3 linked regions of the Rattus norvegicus genome follow. The protein of the gene in region 3 interacts with the protein of the main gene of each other region in a pairwise test. Links are inferred from orthologs where the notes say so. Each region holds a gene or a part of one and is shown on either strand. Other genes may lie near its edges. The genes, in order: Plekhb2, Rbm47 and C5h1orf94.

Region 1 (3,750 bases), on a different chromosome or scaffold from region 3:
CCAGCACCCTATCTACTCCATATTTAGAGGGCACAGGGCCACACTGGTTGTCTGTGTCACAGAAAGGAATCTGCACACACACCCTATTCAAGGTTTGCGGTTCTGAGTTAACCCCTGGTCCAGGCGGCACAGGGAGGCACGCAGGACTCAGCATCCTTAAGAGTGTCCAAACCAAGTTAAACAGAGAGCCTGCAATGCAACCAATGCAACCATGTGGATGGTAAGGAGAGGTGACAGACACCGTAGACCTCAGGGACTAAGCGGCTGGCATGGTAGGCTGCCTCTGTTTCCCCTTCCTTGTGACACCTCTGGCTGCAGCTGACTTACAAAAGGGTGTTCAAAGGTGCGAATGCGCCTCCCTCTCAGATCACTGGCTCTCTGCATAAACTACAACTTAAAGGGTCAGGTTCCAGCTAGAGAGATAGGAGATAGAAAGGGATTGGGACAGGCAGACAAGACAGACATAATGAGAGAAACTGATTTCATAGATTCAGTCTTTATTATCCAGAAATTTACTTACAAAAATAATGTGCTCACACTCTTAATTTACCGAACACCTACTGTGTGTCTGACAGGAAAACACCATAACCCAGTTTTGGTTCATGCCCTGAGGAAGATCGGTGGAAAATCACTCGCACAGAGAATAAACACCATGGACACCAGATAAACTCAGGCAAGAACCTGCCGGGCTAGAGTCTCAAGCCATCTGTCCTAATTATATCCTGCTGACCACCCAAAGTCAAAACTTCTGGGCCCACAAAACAGTCTAAGCATCCTAAGGAAGGAGCCAGAGGCAACGGTTAATCCTAGCTACATGGCTCACTCCTGAAGGCAAGCCCACAGCACAGGCTGGTGGACACACAGCCATGTTTGGTCAATACTCCTTCAGTGACATTCATTGCCCTAAGAAAGTAGGCAATAAATCCCAGCTGCCACCCTGCCACTTCCTGTAAAGAGGGACAAGTCACTTCCTGCATGGATTCTTCAACCTATTCTAGTCAGATGAACACACATGGGGGTGGGGGCGGGGGGGAATTAGTCAGTGTGCTCTGAATGAGCCACGTAGTCTGTCTAGAACCCGTGACTTTCTAAAACACTGGCAATTACTCCACTCCTTCATGAACTCTCTGCCCAAGTCACTCTGCCCCTGAGAGTTGGACACAACAAATTATGCTTACCCAGCATGGAAACCCCTGACCTCCATCTAACTATTGTTATTGCATAACAATAAAAATGTAACAAAAGGGAGTCAGGGTTTGTACAATCAAACACCCGAAACAAAAGGCATTATAATACAGACCATGAAAGTGCAGAGGAACAGAAAGGCCCACCAGAGCAGGGCAAGCCCAGGAAGAAGGAAGCCGGGGGTCTTAGCAAGGCAGTAGCAGTCCCCTGTGAAGTCACAGGAGCTATCAGACTGGTCCTATCATCAGAAGAGCCCCCACCACCTCACCCGAGGGAGGTGGAGAAGAGGAGGGAGAGTCAGGACTAGGCGGCTCTACGGAAGATACCATTAGGACAGGGGACACTGGGAAAGGGATGCGCAGTGCTGGGGAGGATACATCAAGAAGTGGGTCTTAGGGAACCCAGAAAGGACCTTGAGGAAAGGGTAGGGGTACAAGGACTGGTTACTGGGTCAGAAGAAGATAAGATTATGGTGGGGAACACTGGGGAATACCTGCAAGGTCCCAGGGAAAAGGGGAGGGACGCTGGGCTAGACCCTAAGGAAGACTATGAAGAGCTAGGCGGATAGATCAGGAAGTGGGGAAGAGACAGAGACTAGCAGGGGGAAATACAACCAGAATGTGGGACACAAGCGACAGGGGAGGAATCAGGAGCTGGAGGGGAATACAATCAGGATGGGGACACAGGGGAACGCAGTAGCTGGGGGCAGGGGAGGGATACAATCAGGATGGGGGACATTGGGAAGGGGGAGGACACGGGAAGAGGAAGAGAACACAGTCAGGATAGGACACTGGGGAAGAAGAGCCATGAGCTGGGGGTCGGGGTAGGATACAATTAAGAATTAGGACACCGGGGGAGTGGGGAGGAGGCAGAGAGAGTGGCTGGGGTAATACAATGAGGATGGATACTGGGAGAGAGGCAGAAGCTGGAGAGGAGGGACGGTACGATCAGAACAGCAGACATTAGGGACGAGGGAGGGGTGTGGGTCAGAATGGAGGCACTCTAGAAAAGGAAGGCAAGAGCTGGGGAGGAACATTAGGTAAGCGGGAAGGAATAGGGGCTGGGGGGCGGGGGAGTCACGGAGTAAGAGGTGACAAGGGGCTGAGGAAATAGGCGCGGCCAGTAAGGCTGGCGTTCCTCAGAGCCAGGCTTGGAGAGGGGGCGTTGGCGAAGCGGGTTACCCTCGGAGGGGCGTGAGCAGGGCCGAACAGGGTACTCGGACCGAGGAGGTCCTGGGAAGGGGTCGCACGCGGGCGCAGGGGGACACCGCGGGCACAGTCACCTGCGAATGTTCTGGCCGCCAGACAGGGATCAGGCTGAGAGTGCAAGGTCGCCGGCTTCTCCTGCTTCTCCGCTGGACGCGCGAGTCCAGGTCCTGCGTCACCACCTCGCGCCCAGGCGCATGCGCGCGAGGCAGGTGCCGCCCGGGCCCAGAGCCCGAGCCAAGGAGTTGAACTTAACCTGGGCTGTTATCTGTTCAAAGGTGGTTTAAGTATCTTGATCTTGGCGTTTAAAGACAGGCCTTCCTAGAGAGGTGCACGACAGCCGGACTAGGACAATACAAGATGAGCCTGGGGACATCTCTGAACCAGAAATGAAGAACTTCATGCTTAAAAACAGGAAGATGGAGATGTCAAAACTGAATCGGCAAGCAAGGAACAAAACTGGAACTATTAGCAATAGCTCACGTAGAAATGTTATAGCTTAGAACAAATAGAGGAGGAAGGAGCCCGGGCTGTTAGTACAGGACTATAATCCCAGAACTGAGGAGGCTGAATCAGGAGGATAAGTTTGAGGCCAGCCTGGGCTACATAGCCATGGTCTCAAAAACACAAAACAGATAGCGAGGTGGTACACAACCGTAATCTCAGCACTTGAGAGATGTGGTAAGAAGATATGAAGTAGGGCATCTTTAGCTACACAGTGAGCTCAAGACCACTCTAGAATTTCACAAGCTCCTGTTTCAAATTTAAAAAAAAAAAAAAAACTTTTAATTATAGTGCCTTGTGTGTCTCATTTTTTTTTCTAAGTTCTTAGTGTCTCAAACAATGAATTGGACAAGGCACAGAATAGAAGTCGTCCAAGTGTACATTTATTTGGAAAGAAAAAGCATGGAATACACTCCCCAGAATGGGAATTGCCTGAGCAAGCGTAAGACTCAAGACCCCCGTGACCTTTTGTAGCGATCGTTTTATGAGTTCAAATAGAGGGAGGAGCAGATCCCCTAGGGAGAAATTAGGTAGACCCTCTACCCTGATCTACAGGATGTTAAGTAGCTTTGGATCATCTTGGATTGGTGGGTTGTGCATCCTATAGCTTTATGCATGTGCCCCTCTCATGTTTGTACCTGAAACAGTAAGCAGATTTCCGCTAATATTTCACTTCAAGGGAAAACATACACGTATACCCAGTGGTGGTTTAAGATGGACTGGTGTGTCTGCCACATCTGCCCTTCTACCAGAAAATGCCTAACATCAAATTACCTACAGGAGAGATGGGTGTTGCCCCACGGGAAGGAGACTGAAGGGAGGTGTCTGCAGGTCATCAGGTAGCCCTATGCTCGCC
Region 2 (3,750 bases), on a different chromosome or scaffold from region 3:
TGACTTGCTTTGTTTACCTCTATGGAAATGGAAGTTATGAGGAGGTGAAAAGGGAAGAGAGGGCTAATGAGAGCCTCTACAGCTTGGCTAGGCAGTAGTTGCTTGGATTGACAACTGACTATGTTAACAGTTCAAGAAAGCAAAACAATATTAAAGAAGTTCATGAAATGTACCCAGTAGAATGGTGCAAGTAAACAGAAAATATCAAGAAATAGGTCATCCGTCAGGGATGGAAATGGGTGGTGGGGTTGAATTGATGTCATTTCTCTTATTCTCTCTGCGTTCACCATGCACATGTGGAGTTAATATTTCAGTTGAGCCCTGATGCATGAATAAAAACAGCCTGGAAGTGAGCTAACTATTCTCAAGCTCACATGGACAGCAAGGTGACTGAATGTGAAGAGACCATCAAGGGAAATGCACTACTCGAACCTCACAAATTATTTTTAGAAAGTATAGGTTATCGAGTGCCATCTAATATCAGAAAATGTGATTCACTTAGTCATTTCTACTTTTCCCCAAATCCCCACTTATGGTAAAGCTAGAATGAGAGTGGCCCACAATGGCCAACAGAGTTTCTCCTTATAAACCAAACCCGGTGTAAAGCAGGGGAGGGGCGGACCTGGTAAACTCTGTCCTGAAGATTATGTTAACAGATTGAGCACTAACTGATCTGGAATTTGGACACTGACTCCCCACGCCGAGTGTTCTGATGTTGAAAGTCTAACTGAATCTTGTTCTGACAGAAAATCCTGTAACTATGGTAGCATAAATGCAGCCCTGCTGTTATCTCAGGCCCGACAGAGAGCGGCCAGCTCACTGTAGACCTTTGGTACTAGGAGGGGCAGCAAACACAGCCAGGAGTTTCTTCCTCCTTCTCACAAGTCTGCCAGGAAAGGGGCTGGAAAGATTTCATATTTTATATTGGAATCATACATAGGCTCTGTCCACAAAAAAACAAAAAAGCAGCACTAGGGAAACTTCTGGAAAAACCCCTGGTACTGTGGGTAGGCTAGCTTAGTTTCTCCGATGTGGCATGAGGAACAATTGACTTTTCTGTGAATGGTGCAGTCATCTACCTAAAACTCCCCACTCCCAACCACAGTGAGCATGTCCTCTCTCGTTCCCTCGGTTTCCAAATAAATATCCTTATAACAGACATGCACACAGATGTGCACAGGCAAGCTTAAAATACTATCAGCTTCTGGTGTTCTTGTGTTGGGATTTCATGAAGCCAAAAGACTAACAGATTTCACTACTGTATGCTAGTTACATGAGCTGTATCTGTTTCCCCAAACTTTCTCTCGACTACCTGTGGGACAAACAACTTTAGTCTGCAAGAAACGATGCAGACGAAGGCTGAACGCATCTGTGGCATCTTATTAACTTCTGCCTGGGCTATGCCTTCACTTAAGATAAAGAACCAATGCCCAGAATCCAGAAACAATCACGGACTCAGCTGTAAAGCAGGCAGCAACTTGATTAACATGGGTGGATGCCTTGAACACACATTTCTTCAAGATACAAGCATCGTTAATCCTTAGGGGCCAGAAAAAAGCCGATATGCCACTTTACCCTTATTATAATGTCGATTGTCAAGACAAGCCCCTATACTGTGGCCAGTTAGGTAGACTCTTTGTACAGTGATGGCAACAGTGTAAAAAATTAGGGTGGAAAACAATCTGCTGATACTTCAGGGAAAAAAAGAAAGAAAGCCTGTAAATACTTTGATTTACCAACTCCTACTGCTGGATGTAAATCTAAAATAAAAGCAGGACTCAGGTGTTCTTGGGCATATTATTCACAGTAGCCAAAACCAGGGAATACCCTGATGTCTGCTGATGGATAAGAATTAACAAAACCTGGTCCATGTCTTACAATGGAATATTATTCAGCCCTACAAATGAACCCTGAAGACGTGCTTTGTGAAGCAAGCTGGTTATGAAAGAAAGGACAAAGGGTCATGCATCGGAAAGTCTGAAGTGACAGCTACTTCTGCTTTAAATAACAAGCAAGAAGGCCAATTTGCAGAAGCTATGGGGACAGCTCCCAAATCAAATACCATCATACCAAATCTTCTGTCTGTCTTGTACAGAGACCCTTCCTTGCGTACCAGGCATTGAAAAATGTCAAAATACTGATGACTACAGGTTGTGGTGGTGCCTACCCATAATCTTAGCATTTGCTGGACGGAGGTGGGAAGATCAAAAGTTCAAAGCTACCTTGGACTACAAGAGACTCTTTCTTAAAAACATAACAATGAGGGGGAGAGGTTGTGGGAGGGGGACAGTGATCAGGATATATTGAATAAAATTTAAAAAACCCAATAGACAAAACAAGAAAGGAAGGAAGGAAGGGAGAAAGAAAGAAAGAAAGAAAGAAAGAAAGAAAGGAAGGAAGGAAGAAAGAAAGACAGACAGACAGACAGACAGACAGGCAGACAGGCAGACTAATGTTGTTTGAGATGTCACAGGTAGACTGTGAGCAGTCCAGGTTACTCCAGTCTCTTTCTACAGGAAGAGATGTGTCCTTTCAAGCCACTCAGATGTGATATGCACAGATAAATAAGGATTTATAGTGCAGTTTCAAAGAAACTCATTGTCCCGTGTAACATTCCACTAATTCACCATGTAAACACCAAGGTATACATCACCTCACAGGTGTCCTGTTGGATAGGAAGGGGAATTATGTTCTTACTTAAATAGGGAAGAAAAGGATTCTAGGAGGTGCACTCACCAAAAGTCAGCAATTTGATTGGTCTTTCTATGGAAGGTAGAACAAGAGAATTCGCGAAGATTCAGGCAGCTCACTTGGGATTTCTCTGTTCAGTTCTTGAAGTATTCTTTGAGGCAAACCCTAAAGCAGTGAAGAAAATGTTAGGAATGTTTTGATTTTCTTCATTTCAACATAAGTTTCACACGGGCCTAGAAATTGAGGATGTTTTCTTCCCAAAATGAACTATCTTTACTCCGATTACTCAAGAAACCATTATTCTTATGTCCTCTAGAAAGCAAGAAACGTAACTCATTATCTTATCCTTGAAGAAATGGGGAAATGAGACAGGAACAGGAGCATTCTCTTTCATTTGGTGTGGTTTGACCTTTAGAGCAGCCATGACTTAGAGATGTGCATACTGCTTAGGAAAATTACAGTTGTAGTCCAGAGACTCACAAAAAGACCTACCTCCTTATATACCGAGATAAAAATATCTAGCTCGAGGTCTCCTACATGGCTTGTGGAGTTATGTTACACATCACTAACAAATCATTACTAGTGCCTGACCTCATCCACAGCCTGTCCCCAAGGCCACAGGGACAAGGCTGAGCAATCCACCTGCAATTAATCAGAGTTGGCTTGAGAGTGACTGCCTCGGCCCTAAAGTCACAGTCAAGATTTCTTGAGGGTTTTTTTTTTTTTTTCAGGGAGAGGATTATGAAAAAATGAAAAGTATCAGTTCAGATCTTAAGTTAGTGTTAGAAATCCTACTAGTATAAAATATTCAAATGAAAGGAATGCAAAATCAAATTAAAATGTTCAAGACACGAACACAGACATGTGAGATATCTGGGGACACACTCTACCCAGTCTTTACAACTATCAACAGACCTGGAGAGCCAAATGGCTTGTGCGTCCAAATTTCTTACATCCACTATGGTGCCATGAGTGCAGCACTAGAGTGTGGGGTGGAAGATTAGATTCCCAACGCCTTCATGACCATGTCCTGGCCTGAGACACAGACATGCTATATAC
Region 3 (3,688 bases):
TTGTATGTAGTGGTGGGATGGGAACAGTGTTTCACTTTGACTTACTTCTAAGAGGAAGCTCCCTGGGGTCTTTCCAGTCCCACCCCGCCCCCATTCCACCTGCGAGTCTCAGGGACGAACGCCCGGCCCGTGCCCCACCCCCGCGCACCCAGCCGTTGCGCTTGAACCCACTGAAAGAATCCCAGCTCTCGACGGCAGGGGTGTGGGAGCTACTGACACGCAAATCCGCTGACCCCGCCCGGGCCTGCCCTGCCCAATCGGCGGCCTTTTAAGGGTTGGGATCCTCTGCGGTGCGGGTCGCAGCTCTGCGCGGGGGACGCGACAAGTGTCCGCTGAGGACCTGGGCCAGGCCGACTACCGGCACAATACCGCATTGGACATTTCTTTTTTAGGGAGGCAGAGCAGCTGCAGCAGAGAGAGAAGGGGAAGCAGAAGGGGGCGACCGGGAGAGCTAAAGCCAGGACCTGCAGTAGGCGGGTGGGGGGCCCTCTGTGTACGCGGGATCCTTTGGGAAGGTGGGAGGAGACAGTCCCATGGCCGGCACCCACCCAGTCTAGTACAGTGCTCGGCCTTTACCCTGCCCTTCTGGTGACTTGGCAGGAGAGAATGGGCTGAGTCCCAGACCCTGAAAAGTCTCACAGGGGTGTCGTAACGGGGGAGTGCCGGGTCCTGTGGGGAGAGCCAGTCCTCCCCTCTAGTCGTTCCCAGATGTCATTCTGCCCGCCCAGGCGCTTGGTTCCTGAGTTCCGGGGCATTCCACGGTTACTAAGTTACTGGTTTTTGTTGACTTTTAAATATTTTCTTCTACGGGAGAGGGGGAGGGGGGCAAAAGCCAGGAAAGAGCAAATAAAAAGAAGTCAACATAAGCCCCCCCTCCCCAAAAGAAAGTTGCCCTCTACTCCTCATCCTCACCCAAACCGAAGGCCTCTGAAACCCATCCCTTGGCTGGAGCAACAGCCAGCCAGAACTGACTACTTCCCAGGTCCAGTCTTCAGCTCCCTTTCTGGTGAATGAGGGCTGGTGGAGGACAGTCCCTTTGTCTCCCAGCCCTGGGCGGACAAAGGGGCTTCCGAAAAGAGAGAAAGAGGATGGCCAGTGGAAATGGGCTCCCTCCATCCTCAGCCCTGGTGGCCAAGCGTCCCTCCGCCCTGGGGCCATTCCCCAGATATGTCTGGATCCACCAGGACACACCCCAGGATAGCCTAGACAAGATTTGCCATGACATCTGGAAGAGAGTTCAGGGCTTGCCTGAGTCCCTGCAGCCCAGGACCTCTCTGGAGAAGCTCTCTGCCCCGGTGACAGCCGCTGTCAGCTTCCAAGACGAGTGAGTAATCCCCTATTTGGTTGATTATCAAAGGCGGGGGGAATGAAGTCTGACTTTAGGTCGAAATGCTCTGGGCCAGTGTTAAGTCCTACACACATCTCTCCCCCAAGCCTCAACCCTCAACCCCGTTTCTGTAATCTGAAAAATCTTTCGGTTGGAGGAGCTGGCCAAGGTCCTGAAGTCCCAGATGCAAGGAAAGAAGCCATTTCTGGCAGCTTCTTTTCCAGTGACTAAGGAGAAGTTTCTTATTTTAAAGACATAGGTGGCTATGATGTAGATCTGGGGTCCCTGAAGATCTAAGGGTTAGGTGACTCATGACTGTCCCCAGAAGCAACTAGATGATCTTTTCCCCTATCCCAAGAAAAGTCCAGGCATTGGCACAGATGATTCTGGTGGTTGGAAACCACATCTGGAATCCCCTAATACAGAGAGCAGCTGTCCCATTCAGCATCCACAGAGCTACTGCAAGAGCGCACATCAAAATATTTACTGGGAAGGCATTGACATATTCAGAGGACATAATAGAAAATTAAAGTGTGGGAAGATGGCTGTAAATAGCCGGTTTCCCGGATGGGAAATCCCCTGTCGGGGAAGCACAGAGCTAAGTGTTTCAGTGCTAGGGAAAAGTTGAGGGGATAGCGTTGGGGCTGGCTATTGGAAAGAAGAGGAAGGAGCAGAGAGGAAGACAGGGATCTCATTAGGAAAAGGACTGCATCAGCTGTGGTGATTAATGCCACTGCAGAGTACTCTTTCAGGGTTCTGCATCTCCAAAGTGGGCTGCTCGCATTAATTAATCCTCCCGGCATCCCTATGAAACAGGTATTAGTGTCCCCATTTTACAGATGGATTAAGTGTTAATAATTAAGTGCTAATTAAAGCCTAAGTGATAATTAAATGTTGTCTGCCCCCAACACATGCTCCAACTCAGTTCATAGATGCTCCGGAGTGTGTGTGTAGGGGGCGGGGTGCATCCCGGCATTCATCAGCCGCCTCTGGTTTCAGGGCTCTCTAAGCATAGCTGAGGTGAAAAGCAATGTAGTGCTGCAGTCCCTATGCAAGCTCCTTTGCTTGCTGGAGATGAAGGCGGGAGGCATGCTGGCTGCTTCTACCTCCCCTGCCCTGTGCTCAGCAGGACCAGGCTCCGATGCAAACGGCCTTGCTCCATCCAGAATCCTGTGGCGAGTCCGTTCAGTGGCTCTGAGCTCCTTTGCCTCACCCATTGCCATCTGCTCCAGGACAAGCACCTTGGCACGGGGAACCTTGGGGCTGCACTCAGCTCTCTCAGTGGCCAAGTAGCTGATTGTCCACTTTCGGGATCAAAGGTCAGCAGCAATTTCCAGTAGATAGCCCCTTCCCTGCCAGGTCACACTGAATTCGTGGAGACAGACTCTACTTCCAGTCTGCAGTTGGCCGGAAATTGAACCGGCCTACCTTTGGCTCATTACTTCACTCCATTTGGCCTTGATTTCCTCATCTGCAAATTAAGGACGACGTGCCCTGCCTTGTCCACCTCAGAGTCGATAACGAGGGTCCAATGTGATGGGAAACTAAGAAAATGAAAGATGCATTATACAAACAAGGCCGCCTTAATATGTAGCTCGTCGAGTTTGGGGGAGGGGAGGCTTCACAGCTCCATGATCCAAGGAGCCTTCAGACAGCCATCCTGGAGTCAAGTGGGCTCCTACACACACACTCTACACACATACACACACCACACACACACTACCCACACACACTACACACACATACACACTACACACACATACACACTACACACACATACACACTACACACACATACACACTACACACACACTACACACACATACACACACTACACACACACCACACACACACACTTCAGCCTGAGCTCTTCAGGTGTTGGTCCGCTTTACTCACTGGAGTTCTGAGTACAGTTGCGATTGAAGGAGTTCTGAGGCTGAGAGGAGACCTGGGAATCTGCTGACTTAGATGAATAAGCCTCATCCTAACTGTATAGCTGTCCGCCCAGCAGAACACAATGAGCGAGGCAGCGAGCGCCGGAGTTGGATAACCAGGTTCGGCAGTGTGTGTGCCTCTGTAGAACCTGTGACTGCGAGGCTGATCTGAGCTTTGGTTTCCTCACTGCCATGGGGGAGTGACGGTAGGGGTCGCTGGAGGTGACAAATCAGGACTATTCAATGGTCCTGCTGGTAATTAGGATTGATAAACTCGTTCTAAGGACAGCAGTTATAATTTCTGTAAACCCTGCAGTCTTTGCATGAGGCAGTGAAGGTCCAAGTGTGTGTAGATGTAAATTTCCATAATTATCAAACTGTGCTGTTCTGGTTTAAATTGCTCCTCTCCCCCCCCACCCCTTTAAATG

The links.
Region 1: the proteins of C5h1orf94 (region 3) and Plekhb2 interact in binary tests that used the Homo sapiens proteins (3 or more experiments, as listed by UniProt). The two-hybrid records come from large-scale screens. The link is inferred for Rattus norvegicus from reciprocal best matches to the Homo sapiens genes C1orf94 and PLEKHB2.
Region 2: the proteins of C5h1orf94 (region 3) and Rbm47 interact in binary tests that used the Homo sapiens proteins (3 or more experiments, as listed by UniProt). The two-hybrid records come from large-scale screens. The link is inferred for Rattus norvegicus from reciprocal best matches to the Homo sapiens genes C1orf94 and RBM47.

What each region holds. Positions count from the first base shown.
Region 1 is NC_086027.1:44,544,286-44,548,035, reverse strand, and holds the start of Plekhb2 (pleckstrin homology domain-containing family B member 2), read right to left. Parts: upstream 2,564-3,750; 5' UTR 2,468-2,563; intron 1,460-2,467; exon of another isoform or gene 1,301-1,459; intron 1-1,300. UniProt on the Homo sapiens protein: Involved in retrograde transport of recycling endosomes.
Region 2 is NC_086032.1:42,514,724-42,518,473, reverse strand, and holds the start of Rbm47 (RNA-binding protein 47), read right to left. Parts: upstream 2,854-3,750; 5' UTR 2,737-2,853; intron 1-2,736. UniProt on the Homo sapiens protein: Single-stranded RNA-binding protein that functions in a variety of RNA processes, including alternative splicing, RNA stabilization, and RNA editing. Functions as an enzyme-substrate adapter for the cytidine deaminase APOBEC1.
Region 3 is NC_086023.1:145,607,470-145,611,157, reverse strand, and holds the start of C5h1orf94 (uncharacterized protein C1orf94 homolog), read left to right. Parts: upstream 1-863; 5' UTR 864-1,010; coding exon 1,011-1,324; intron 1,325-3,688.